Caenorhabditis elegans: one gene and its partner. The protein of the gene in region 1 purifies or fractionates together with the protein of each later gene. This does not show direct contact. Each region holds a gene or a part of one and is shown in the gene's direction. Other genes may lie near its edges.

Region 1 (8,397 bases):
TGCCAACAAGTGTACCCGCAAGATCTTTAACTAACTTCTTTCTCTCTTTTGCTCACTCCATTTTTATAATAATTTGGGATTCTGTTTTTGCTTGGAAAAATAAAAATAAACCTATGGCTTTGCTATCCAGGAACTCTCGGGTATACCAGAAATGCAAGAGTGCTCTACTGACAAGTGTTCTGTGTAATCCACGTGGAGAAAAATAGAAAAAAAACCCACAAAAATGACGATTTTGATTTTTAAAAAATTTCGGAAACACGGGGTTCTGGCCTTCCTCATTGAATTTTTCGCCCTCCATTGACAATCCTGCCGGACAACGCGTGGGAAAGCCGTGTACTCCACACGGACAAATACATTTAGTTTTACAACTAAAACCGAGCCGCGACGCGACACGCAACGCGCCGTAAATCTACCCCAGATATGGCCGAGCCAAAATGGCCTAGTTCGGCAAACTCTTCCATTTCAATTTATGAGGGAAGCCAGAAATCCGTAACGGAAACTCTGAAAAATTCGATTTTCCCGCCAAAAAAACTTGCGTGTGAAATCCGATGTATTAACTCCGCCCCTCTCAATGCACCATACTTTACGCGCAAGTTTTCAGTTCTTCAACGCCCAGCCATTAAATGGACCATCTGTGTCGAACCTCGGCAGCCCGGAAATTCAATTGACGGTATTAAAATTTTCATTTCACACGTGGTGTCAGAGTGTCTCATTTCGGCTTGATCTACTTAGATCTACGAAAAATGCGGGAACAGAGACGCAGAGTTCTCAACTGATTTCGCATGGTTAAGAACGTGCTGACGTCACATATATTTGGGCGAAAAATTCCCGCATTTTTTGTAGATCAAACCGTGTTAGGGCAGCCTGGCACCACGTGATTTTAACATTATTTGACATGATTTTCTTACAGGACGTGTGCCCGAATGAGTGTACAGGAGTATTTACGGAACGCGACGTGGCATATGATCCAGTACCACAGGCTGCCATATATAATAATAGAATTTCGAATCGATTCAACGGAATTTTTGATCCATCGGCTGCTTTTTAAAAATAACTTTTTTTCTTCTTGATCTCGTCAATAAATGTTTTATTTTTATTAAATTCGATATTTTTTTCAGAAATTGGAGGTTAAAAAAACTTTTTTCTAAAATTTTTAAATAATTTATCGCTTTTTCTTATATAAAACTTAATTTAAATGGTCATTTTATTAATATATTCGCAAATTCAGATAAACTATTTTCAAATTTCGCGGTCTGTGCATTTTGACGTGATGGTGTTGACGTACAGGTTACTGTAGTCACTTTTCTTCGTGGGTGGTCTTGGACCACCGATATTTTAGGCCAATCATCGATTTTTTTCGCATTTTTTGAGAATAATTTGATTTTTTTTTCAAATTAAATTAGTTTTAAAATTGAAATTTCAATTTTAATATATAAAATTCTTAATTTTTCATCTGGAAAATGAGAAAATTAGTTATCTTCGTGTGTGGTCTTGGGCCACCGAAGTTTAGGCCAATCAGCGGATTTTTAAATTTTTCGTGTTATTTTTTACATTTGTGTAAATATTGATTAATTATTTATTAAAATAATTTTGAAATTAAAATTCCAACTCTAAAATATGAAATTGTTAATTTTTCGACAAGAAAATGATTTTTCTTCATGGGCGGTCTCATTTCCACCAATTTTCTTTCCTTCTTATATGAATTATAATTTGCGAAAAAGTTAAACTCTCTTTTTAAATTAAGTGTTATTAAATCAATTTCAATTGAAATTTTTATCTCTGCCGTATTGAATCTTCACAGAAAACGCGTTTTCTTCAGACCTCCCACGAAGAAAAGTCAATTTTTCGAAATTTTCCCATTTTTCAGAGCTTAAAACCAATGTTTCCCAGTGGTCACAATGAAAAATGGACTCGTGGTTACCAGCGGGAGAATTCTCTGTTGTAAGTTACAGCTTCTTTTTGAGCCAATAAATTGAAATTTTCGAATTTTCAGACATCACGACGACGAGTTCAGATCGTTCCAGCGTCGCACAGACTGCCCACAACATTTTTACCAGCAAACGAATGGGTATGAGCACTCTCTGTTTGGTGAAAAGGTAAAAAAAAAGCGAAAGAAAAGGAGAATAAAATTTTTAAAAAATTTAATTTTCAGGCCGGATTCCACGAAGCTTCTGCACAAAACCTGCTTATGCATCTTGCATCACAGATTTCTCCGATGGAATTCGCTAAACTCCAACTCGAGCTCTTGGCTAGGTGCGATTTGTGCTCGAGAATGTGCTTTAAACCGGTTATTTTCTTTAATTTCAGCCAAAATAAGCAGCGTCCGCATCGTGGTGCAGGTTTCGGCTCGTACCTCATGAGCCCGCCGGCAACAGTGTCAAGCTCTCGGAGCACAGTGCTCTGTTGCAACCCGGCTCCACCATACGCCAGTCACTGCCAATCACCGGCTGCTTCTGATGATTTCGGCCATCACTTTGGCTCGTTCGACTCGATGTCCGCCTACAATTTCCACAACAACAACCAGCAGCAAAGACGTGAAGCACACGTTTCTAGAGGTAAATGCTCATTTGAATTGAATTTTCTAAAATTTCAGCGAGGAAAATTGCTCATTTTTGAAAAAAAAACTGATTTTTAAATAGCTTAGAAAGCAAATTCAATTATTTTTTAAGATAAGCAGACAAGAAAATCGATTTTTAGCCGTGAAAAATTTAAGATCGTGCCGAAATTCTCTAAAATTATATTTGCATGTACCTTTAAAGTAGTACGATAGAAGATTTTTTGTTTTTGAATATCGTAGACAGAAATTGTAGTTCATATTTAAAAAAGAAAGAAAACTCGGCCAAAAATTTCCATTTCAATTTAAAAAAAAGTGGTTTTTAACAATTTTAGCGTTGTAAAAAATGAGATCGTACCGGGACCAGGGGTGAGCGGCAATCGGCGATTTTCGTGATTTTTCGGCGATCGGCGATCGCCGAAGGAAAAAAATTCATCGGCGATCGCCGAAGGAAAAAAATTCATCGGCGATCGCCGATGGAATTTTTCAATAAATTCATCTCGATTTTTAAAATCTCATGTTTTTTTACGATTGTTTTGTTGTTTTTAATTTTTTTTTTTTTTTTGAGTAAATGTTAATTTTTTCGTCGCATTTCCTTACCAAACAAAAAAACGGAAAGGTAACTCGTTAAAATAGCTCTTAAAATATGTTTTTTTTTCAATATAAAAATATAGACGAACGCCGATCGCCGAAATTTTTCGGAAATTGGTGATCGCCGATCGCCGATTTTTTTGGGCGACTGCTCAGCCCTGACCGGGACCTCATTGAATTTTATTAGCGTGCGTCTTTAAAATATTACGATACATGATTTCGACATTTCTCGTTCCGAAGTTTTTGGTTTTTAAGTAACCTAGCTGACTTTTATTCAATAAATTAATGAAAAATCAGTCAAAAAATCTATTAATTTCCATTTTGTTAAACAAATTTGTGAGTTTTAACATTTTTAGTCTTAAAAATTGGAGATCGCGCCGAGACCCGCTCAAACTTTTTAGCATGCGCCTTTAAAATATTAAAATACATGATTTCGACTTTTCTCGTTCCGAAGTTTTGGTTCAGCTGATTTTTATTCAAAAAATTATGAAAGTCAGTCTAAAAATCGATAAATTTCCATTTTAATCAACATATTTTGTGAATTTTAACATTTTTAGCCTTGAAAATGCAAGATCGCGGGGAGACCCATTCAAACTTTTTAGCTTGTGCCTTTAAAGTATTACGCTATAAGTTTTTGTTTTTTAAATAAATTTTCCATTTTTCCAGATGGAAAGAGCTTCGATCAAGGCAACATCTACACCGCCGAAGATGTGCACACGGTTGTCAAGAACCATCGGAACGAGAACAATCAACGAGTCGTCTCCAACAAAGTATTCGTTGGTGGAATCTCGCATATGATGAATCGGAAGATCATTAACAAATTCTTCGGTCAATTTGGAACGGTTTTCGTCGATTGGCCAGTGAAGCAGAAGCCGAATTGTAGGATTTTTATTTTTTTTAATTGCTTTGTTAGACTCAAAATTGTCTGAAAACACCGAATTTCATGAGGAAACTTCTCAAAAAAAAGTTATGACTGCTCAAAAAATGGCCTAAAATTAGTTAAAATTTGAAATTTGACCTACTTGTCAAGCGGCTAGAAACTAACTTTTTTGAAATCACCGTCTAATTTTGAGTATACAATGTAATTATCCTGCGTTTTCAACTCGATTTAGGTATTTTAAAGTCGATGGACGGCGAGATTTTCAAATTTTTTCTACCAAATCTCGCCGTCCAAAATATGTTTAAAATACCTAAATGAAGTTGAAAACGCAAGATAATTACATTGTATACTCAAGTGATTTCAAAAAAATCAGTTTCCAGCCGCTTGACAAGTCGGTCAAATTTCAAATTTTAACTAATTTTAGGCCATTTTTTGAGCCGTCATTACTTTTTTTTGAGAAGTTTTCAAGCAGTTTTATCATAAAATTTGATTTTTTTCAGACAATTTCGAGTCTAAAAAAGCAATTTTTAAAAAATTCGACTATACCACCTTTAAATTGTTTAAATTTAAAAATCTTAAATTTTTCAATTTTCAGCTCGCGGAAAATCGATCGCCATTGGATCCTACTCGTACTTGTTCCTTGTCTATTCGGATGAGCAGTCAGTGATCAAACTGATGTCTGCATGCCATCGAAATTCACAAAACGACTTCTTCGTTTCAGTGCCAGGATTTAGAGATATGGTTAGGAGAAAATAAATAATCAATAATTTTAAAATCAATAAAATTAATAAAACTTCCAATTTAGATTCAAATCCGTCCCTGGTTCATCTACAACGGTTTCTACATCTTGGAAAAAGCCCGTCACAACCGTATCATCGATATTCACCGGACCGTCTTTCTTGGAGGACTCCCGAGAATTGTAACAGCCGAGGAAATAGCTCAAATGTTCTCAGAGTTCGGAGTTGTTCTTCTCGTCACAATCGATATTGATCAAGACTACGGATACCCGAAAGGAGCGGCTCGAGTGACTTTCGAACGGGATTCTGCGTTTAATAGGGCACTGGAGAAGAAATTCCTGAAATTCGACAATATCGATTCGAGCAAGACGGTTAGTTACTCAAAATGCCTCTTTTTCATTTAAAAAATATCGAAAAAATGACCTGATTTTTGCTAAATTTTTTTGCTCGCTAATTTGGTCAATTTCCCCTGTGGAAACGGTCAGAAATTGATTTTTATTTAATAATTGCATATTTTGTCGCTTACCCCACGTTATTTTATTGAGTTTGACCGAAATAACGTAAGATAAACGACAAAAATAAGCAAAATATAAGAATTATTGAATAAAAATCATTTTCTGACAGCTGCGAAATGGCATTTTTTCGAAAATTCTAGCTAGAAAATTCGGCCTTTTTGCGATATTCTCATTATAACAACACAAAAAATCAAGCCTTTTACCCTATTTTTCAGTATAATGTATAAAAATAAATAATAAAATTTTAGACAAAAACACCGAAATAACGTAAGATAACAAAGAAAAGTGAGCAAAATATAACAATTATTGAATAAAAATCAATTTCCCACAGTTGCGAAACGGGAAAAATTCAAGATTTTAGCTAAAATTAAACCTTTTTTCAAATTTTTTTAATTCTAGCTGTAAAATTCAGCTTTTTTGCGCCATTTTTGAGTATAATAACACAAAAAAAATCAAGTTCTTTGCATTATTTTTCAGTATAAAACCTGAACTTTTCGCCAAAAACACCGAAATAACGTAAGATAAGCGACAAAAATGGCGAAAATATAACAATTATTAAATAAAAATTAATTTCCGACAGCTGCGACACGGGAAAATTGGCAAAATTCAAGATTTTAGCTATTTAGAATCACTTGGTGCCAGGCTGTCACATCACGGTTTGATCTACGAATTTTTTGTCCAAAAATGCGTGACGTCAGCACGTTCTGAACCATAGAGCTACATAGATCAAGCCGAAATGGGGCAGCCTGACACCACGTGTAGAATAGGTCTTCTTTTTCTAAAGGTATAAAATTTGGCATTTTCGCAGCATTTTGAGTATAAAAGTTAAAAAAAAACCAAAAAATTGCATATTTCAGATGATAGAGATCAAGCCATACGTGATGGAAGATGTTGGATGTGATGAGTGTGGAGGTTTATGGTTCAATCCATTCCTAAGCATCTACGATCATTTAAAATGTGCAAAAGACGATCATCAAAAGGAACAGAAAATGGCTGAAATTAAGAATTTCAATATGTGGTCATCCAGAAGCCCATTCTCACTAAATTCTGGTGATGGACACGATGATTTGATCACGAAAATGGATGCCGGATTCAAGAAGAATTGCAATTTGGCGTGCACCTACTCAAACCGGGAAAACGAGAAAAATGAGACTGAAATGGGAGCTCGGAAATTCTTGGAAATGGTCAAATCGTTCGGATTGGAGAAGGAAAAGACTGTGACTGTGAACGGAAACGAATATCCAATTGGACCAGATCTATGGGATAAATTCCTTCCTGCTCCGAAATATGATGTGGGAACTGAACCGGTAATTTTGATTTTTTTTTGAAGTTTCAAATGAAAAAAATTCTAAGATATTCTTTTTTTTTTCCAGAAATTGGTCTAAATTTTGGCCGTTTTTCGTCTACTTAGAAAAAAAATAACGTTTTCTAAATTTTTTTCGATTGTCCAAAGAATTTTTAAAACAATTTCGGGAAAATCAAGTATTTTTCAACGACAACCCTTTCAACGACAACCGAAAAATACCCGAAAATTTAAATGATTTTTTCAATTTTGAAAAAATTTAAAAAAACGACGTTTTTTGAGTTCCCGCGCAAATTAATGACAGTTTTTAAATTTTTCAGACATTTTTCCGCAAAAATTGTTTGAAACTAATGGAAATTGTCGATTTTTAGGCCAATTTTCTATGTTTTTTTTAGGTTATCAAGTTTTCTTTGAAAAAAATGCTTGGAAAATTGGAAAACGGGGTTTCAAATCAAATTTTAAATTTAAAAAATTGTTGAAAATCAAGAAAAAAAGCCAGAAAACTCGAAAAGAAAATGCCGAATGAATTTGCGCGGGAATTCAAAAATAATTTAACTCAATTTTTGGCAAATTTGAAAAAAAAATTTCCTATTATTCGGTCATTTTCCATAATTTACAGCAAAAAAATCTGGATTTTATATGATTTTTTGGAAAAAATCGCAATTATTTGTTCAATGGAGCGTGCGTGCATTTTTACATTTTTCGATATTTTATTTTTTAATTTTCTACTGATTTTCCATGTTTTCAATGTATTTTTACTGGAAATTTAACGAAAAATTCAAGAAAAATGCAATTTTCGTAAAATTTTCAATAAAAATAAACTGAAAACATAAAAAATCAGTAGAAAAATTTTAAAAAAAGTAAAAATGCAAGCGCGCTTCATCGAATAAATATTATTTTTCCCATTTCTTTCAAAAATCTTATAAAATTTAGATTTTTTTAAACTTTTCTACAATTAAATTCGATAGTTAAGGTTAATTTTAATTTTTAATTATAATAATTGTAAAGAAAAAACCCATATTTTTCCAGGTCCGAATGAATCCAGAAGCCAAACTCCAACAGTTCCTACGCATGAAACGTACCAACGTCTACAGCAACAAGAGCGCATACTGCAAAGAGGCTCCGTGTCGCCAGTACTACTGTCCATCGTGCTCCAACAAACTCCATTCGGGACCCAATCAGCACACCCTCTTACCAGCCGGAAAACCAGAACGTCGTCCGAGAAAGGACAAAAATATGTACCTTGTTAATATGGGAAAGTAGTTTTTCTCGTATTTTTAACATTTTTTTCCATCCACCCAACTATCACCACCACCATAACCTCTTGTAAAATCTGTTATTTGTTCACGTTTTTCCAATAATTTTCCACAAGTTTTCACAATTCCCACCGCCGGTAAAGTTTGTTTCGATTGTTACCTACATGATCTGTATCATGATCTGTATCATTTTTGTTCTCCGACTTCGCCATATATTTGCATGATTTGTTTTATAAACATGTTTGACGCACAATGCCTATGTTTTTGTTGTTTTTTCCCCTGAAAAGTATTCATTTTTATTACAGAACGAGGAGTGTGGGGACTCTTGTGAAAATAAAAAATAATTTCAGAATTTTTTTGTACCGCGTAACACAAATGAGATATGAAACTTTTAAAAAACAACAATTATTTATCTTCACTCGACGAAAAAAGAAGATTCTCAAGCCATTCTCCATACTTTTCCCAGAGAGCATCCTGAAGGAAAAGTGCATAACCGACTCCGAATAGTGAACCTCCGAGATGGGCGGCGTGGTCGAATAGACGGAATCTGGAAATTTTAAA
Region 2 (4,196 bases), 6.8 Mb from region 1:
CTTGCTTCAGATTGCTCTTTATCTGGAAATACGCAACTAATTTGTTTTCAGAGAGAAACATGGCAGAAAACTTTGACACACTTCTACAACTTGCTCATCTTGGTTACAGTACGCTTGCACCCATTGCTCTTGCTGGATACGTCATTGCACAATGTGGAGGAAAGAAGAAGGCTGGTGGATCATCGAATGGTGGAGGTGGAGCTAAGACTGGAGGTGGTGGTGCAACTGGTGATGATGGAAAAAGTGATAAGAAAGACAAGTCATCCAATGATCCAAAACCAGAGGGAGGTCCAAAGGCTCCAAGTGATAAGAATGCTGTCGCAGGAACACACGATCCAAATTATCAAACTCTTGCTGGAGTCGATGGAAATGTATTCCAAGAGAAAGGAAAAGCTCCTGCTGCTGCTGGTGGTGCTTCCCCTACGGCTGGTGCTCCAAAGCCTGGAGGTCCTGGAATGGCTGGTGAGTTTCATTGGATATTCAGATCTAGCTACGTACTAAAAATCGAATTTCAGCCACCCATGATCCCAATTACCAAACACTTGCTGGAATTGGAAACGATTGTTTCGACAAGAAAGACGGTGCAAAACCAGCTGCTGGTGGTGCTTCTCCAGGTGCTCCAAAAGCCGGTGGTCCTGGAATGGCTGGTTTGTTTTTTAGTTCACAGATTCTTGTTATAATCTAACTTTTAGCTACTCATGATCCGAACTATCAGACACTGGCTGGAATTGGAAACGATTGCTTCCAGAAGAAGTGAGGTCAACTCGAGCAAACTATCCTCAAAATCTTGTCTTCAAAATAAAATTTTTCAGTTGAATTTATTTATCATTGTGTTCGTACTTGGTATTTTCCAGATTTTTCTGAATCGAATCTGTAATAATCGGAGGTTTTGCGAAGACAAGGGCAATATGAACTATTTATATTTTTCACGTTTCTGGCCCGGTTCGAAGCTGATTCGCTGATGCTTCACAACAAAAACCTTCTCAAAAGGTACAATTTTTGCTCCAAATTTGCCAACGTTTCCGAGTAACATGTTGAAAATTAACTTACTTGATGAGATGAACATTTTCGTCTCTTATAATATCAAACTTTTTCGTTAATAAAGGTACATCTAGGTACTTAATTTTGGTTATTTTTGGTTACCTATTCGCTTTAGATGTACGATGTGAGATGTAGGTCAACGAAATTATTTGAAAATGTTAATTCTGTTTTCTCCTAATTGACGTAAAACTGATTTCTTGTCAAAGGTTTTTCAATTTTCCAGAATATATTAGAAAATTAGAGATTAATCAGACATAATAAAATGTAAAATATCGTCATATATAGTGTACACGAGCGTAAGTTATGAAAATTATCATAGACGTCTCGTAATAGAGGAATTATGGAAAGTGTAATTTTAAAAAAAGTTTAATATATAAAACGAAACTCAACTCTATAAAGTCAGAAAATCTCAAGAATGTGCGAATGCTCATTTTCATCATGGGTGGTCTTTCGTACAAGAACTGCCTAAAATTTTAAATTATTGTATAATTTGATTTTTCGAGTTATCGGTGTTTTCCTGTGATTCATGATTCTGAATTTCTCAAATAAATCTTACTGTAAACCGTCTCACCAATTTCTTCGTGGGTGGTCATCAGGGTACTGTAGTTTCTGAATTGTGTGATGCTGGTGCGTAGCTCAAGTTTACTTCATGGGCGGCCTATTCTTTTCGAATTTGCTTCATTATCATATTTTTAGCATATCTTCCTCGATTTCCATTAAATTTACAATTAATTCAATGGTTTCTTCTTCGAATACTTTTTATAAGTTACTTTTTCGTTAACATTTATTGAAAAAGAAGTACATTTTTCAATTATCTTTGTTGGTGGTCCTCGGTTTTGTCATGGGTGGTATTTACACTCTTCGCTCGCTCAATTTTACGTTCGCAATGCATAGATGAAATTTTTTAAACCGATATTGAGTTGATTTTGTCAGTATTTATGAACTCTTTTATTAAAATTAGAAGCTCGCACTTTCGTTTTCGTCGTGGGTGGTCTCATATTTATTGTTTTATTGTTTAATTTGTATCTCTCACTATAATTAAATTTTCAGGAGAAAATGTATACCGAAGTCCGCGAGCTCGTCAATTTTGTGTGCAGATACTTATTTGGACATATTCCAAGAAGACCGGTAATTTGAAACAATTTTTTGATGGTTTAGAGTTAATTTATATTTTCCAGGTCGGCATATTTGGCGCTGAACTTGGAAACTACCTCGTCTCACATTTCTCGTCTACCTGGGATGTTCATCATCCGAAAAATGGTAAGTTTTTTTGTTAAAACCTGAGAAATAGAACAAAAAATTATTTTTAAAATTCTAGGTGAGATGAAGCGAATGATTAACACAACCACTTCTTTATGCTTTGCAAGTTCTGCCGAAGAAGCTGGAGTCCCTCCGAGTGATGTTCTGCGTCTACTTCCAAGTTTGTAAAAATAAATAAATTGGTATTTTTCTAATTTTTTTTGTTTCAGCAAACATGATCATTTTTGCCAATCCGGGCCACGTCTTCGTTCGTTTATCGGAGAACGGAATCGAAACACCGATTTGGATTGGAGATGTGAACTGCGATGAGAAGTTGGATTTTATACAAGACAATATAAAAATACTTTAAATTTCATTTTTCCAGCTACCAATCAGTCCCCGAGTACGTGGTCAGAACCGCTGCAATCCGCGCGGAGCCTTGCTCGAATCTTGGAGCAGCTGGGAAATCGGTTCTTGTTGGAAAAAAGCCGCTTCTCACCAACGACAAAGGTGAATTTTTTTTTTTGAAAATTGAATCATCAAAACAATTTTGAAAATAAATTACAGCTGCTCTCGAAATGGTCAACACAATGTATTCTCCATTGGCGCGAGAGAAATGTGATGATATCAACGCAAATCTCTCTCATCTTCGGGAGGTATGCAAAAAATATTCAGATTCTAAATTTTATTTCATTTTTTTTTCAGATGTATCCATTCCGCTTCGTCTACAAGCCGTCATCTGCTCAAACCTTCAGTGGCGTTGAGTTCTCACAGACTCGTTTCGGATCTAGCAAGTTAGTTGGAATAAGTTATATGTAAACTGATAAAATGAATTCAGATCTCGTCCGGATCTTCAGACAATGGATGTCATCAAGTACCTCAGCTCTCAGCAAGTTTCGTCTTCGTCTTCGCCAAGCTTCACCTATTCAAGCATCAACGACCAAATGAGATATTCTCCCCGTTTTTAATTTCCCAGTATTAGAATCTCAATTATCATACCGTTTTCAAGTTAACCAAGTTTTATTTTTAGAATCTTTAGATTCCCACGAAAGCTTCATATCATGTACTATTGAATCGTGTTTTTATTATTTTTGTCAATTTATTTTTTATATTGTTCTTCAGTTTATTCCATTCAGGAATAAATAAGCCACAGTTTAAAAATATGGTTTTCATGAGATTTTCTAGCTAGGGAAATGTCCTCTGCGAGAAAGCAGACTGTGCGTTTTCTTCCAGGTGGCGACGTCAACATCAGCTCGGTGGTGTTGGATTCACAAAGGAATTTCCAGCCGAAAAGTTCTATAGAGATGCAATGTTTCTATAGAGATGCAATCTATAGAGATGCAAGAGATTTATGAAGGAACTTCCAATATTCAATTGAACACGCCAAATTAATTGATAATGAGAATAAATTGAGCAATTGATTGATCCGCCTTCCGTTGTATGCTTTTTGTAAATTTGAAAACGTATTGATAAATCTAAAAGTTGAACAATTTTGAATAAAATACGAGATTTTTACAGAAACCTGATGTAGGTGCACTTGTATCAACTTACTTAATTCAATCTCATACCGTACATCTCACCCCCACAGTTATATTTCTTATCACATATCGATGGAAACTTGATGAGACTGCTCCAACTGTATTCTGTACTCTCGGCAATTCGCCGCAACTTATCCACCAACTTTAGCAACTTTATAAATGACAAGTGCAGAAGTTGCTAACTTTGGGAAAAAAGTTGGATAAAGTTGGTCAAAGTAGGCTAATGTTGGATAAAGTTGGCTAATCTTGGCAGAACATAGGCAGCACGCGCGCACGTATTCTAACGATCCAGCTCCTAGGAGTTGGCATTCTTGACTGTTTCCTTTCTTTAATTTATTGATTAAAAAACTCCTTTTCTAGTTTCCCCAGACTTTTGAC

What was found. The genes of interacting proteins can lie anywhere in the genome.
Region 2: the proteins of fog-1 (region 1) and fog-3 purify together in Caenorhabditis elegans (affinity purification with western blotting, with the first as the bait; one study listed by BioGRID). This does not show direct contact.

What each region holds. Positions count from the first base shown.
Region 1 is NC_003279.8:3,209,179-3,217,575, forward strand, and holds fog-1 (RRM domain-containing protein), read left to right. Parts: upstream 1-1,867; 5' UTR 1,868-1,879; coding exon 1,880-1,941; intron 1,942-1,993; coding exon 1,994-2,096; intron 2,097-2,152; coding exon 2,153-2,253; intron 2,254-2,307; coding exon 2,308-2,555; intron 2,556-3,811; coding exon 3,812-4,024; intron 4,025-4,620; coding exon 4,621-4,766; intron 4,767-4,830; coding exon 4,831-5,133; intron 5,134-6,134; coding exon 6,135-6,584; intron 6,585-7,609; coding exon 7,610-7,843; downstream 7,844-8,397. Other genes in the region: Y54E10A.17 (DOMON domain-containing protein), read left to right, coding at 602-670, 911-1,048; rom-5 (rhomboid protease), read right to left, coding at 8,242-8,383.
Region 2 is NC_003279.8:10,014,681-10,018,876, forward strand, and holds fog-3 (Anti-proliferative protein domain-containing protein), read left to right. Parts: upstream 1-2,084; 5' UTR 2,085-2,097; coding exon 2,098-2,169; intron 2,170-2,219; coding exon 2,220-2,301; intron 2,302-2,359; coding exon 2,360-2,461; intron 2,462-2,510; coding exon 2,511-2,613; intron 2,614-2,665; coding exon 2,666-2,790; intron 2,791-2,847; coding exon 2,848-2,936; intron 2,937-2,985; coding exon 2,986-3,074; intron 3,075-3,118; coding exon 3,119-3,248; 3' UTR 3,249-3,441; downstream 3,442-4,196. Other genes in the region: C03C11.1 (Collagen triple helix repeat protein), read left to right, coding at 60-462, 516-647, 693-757.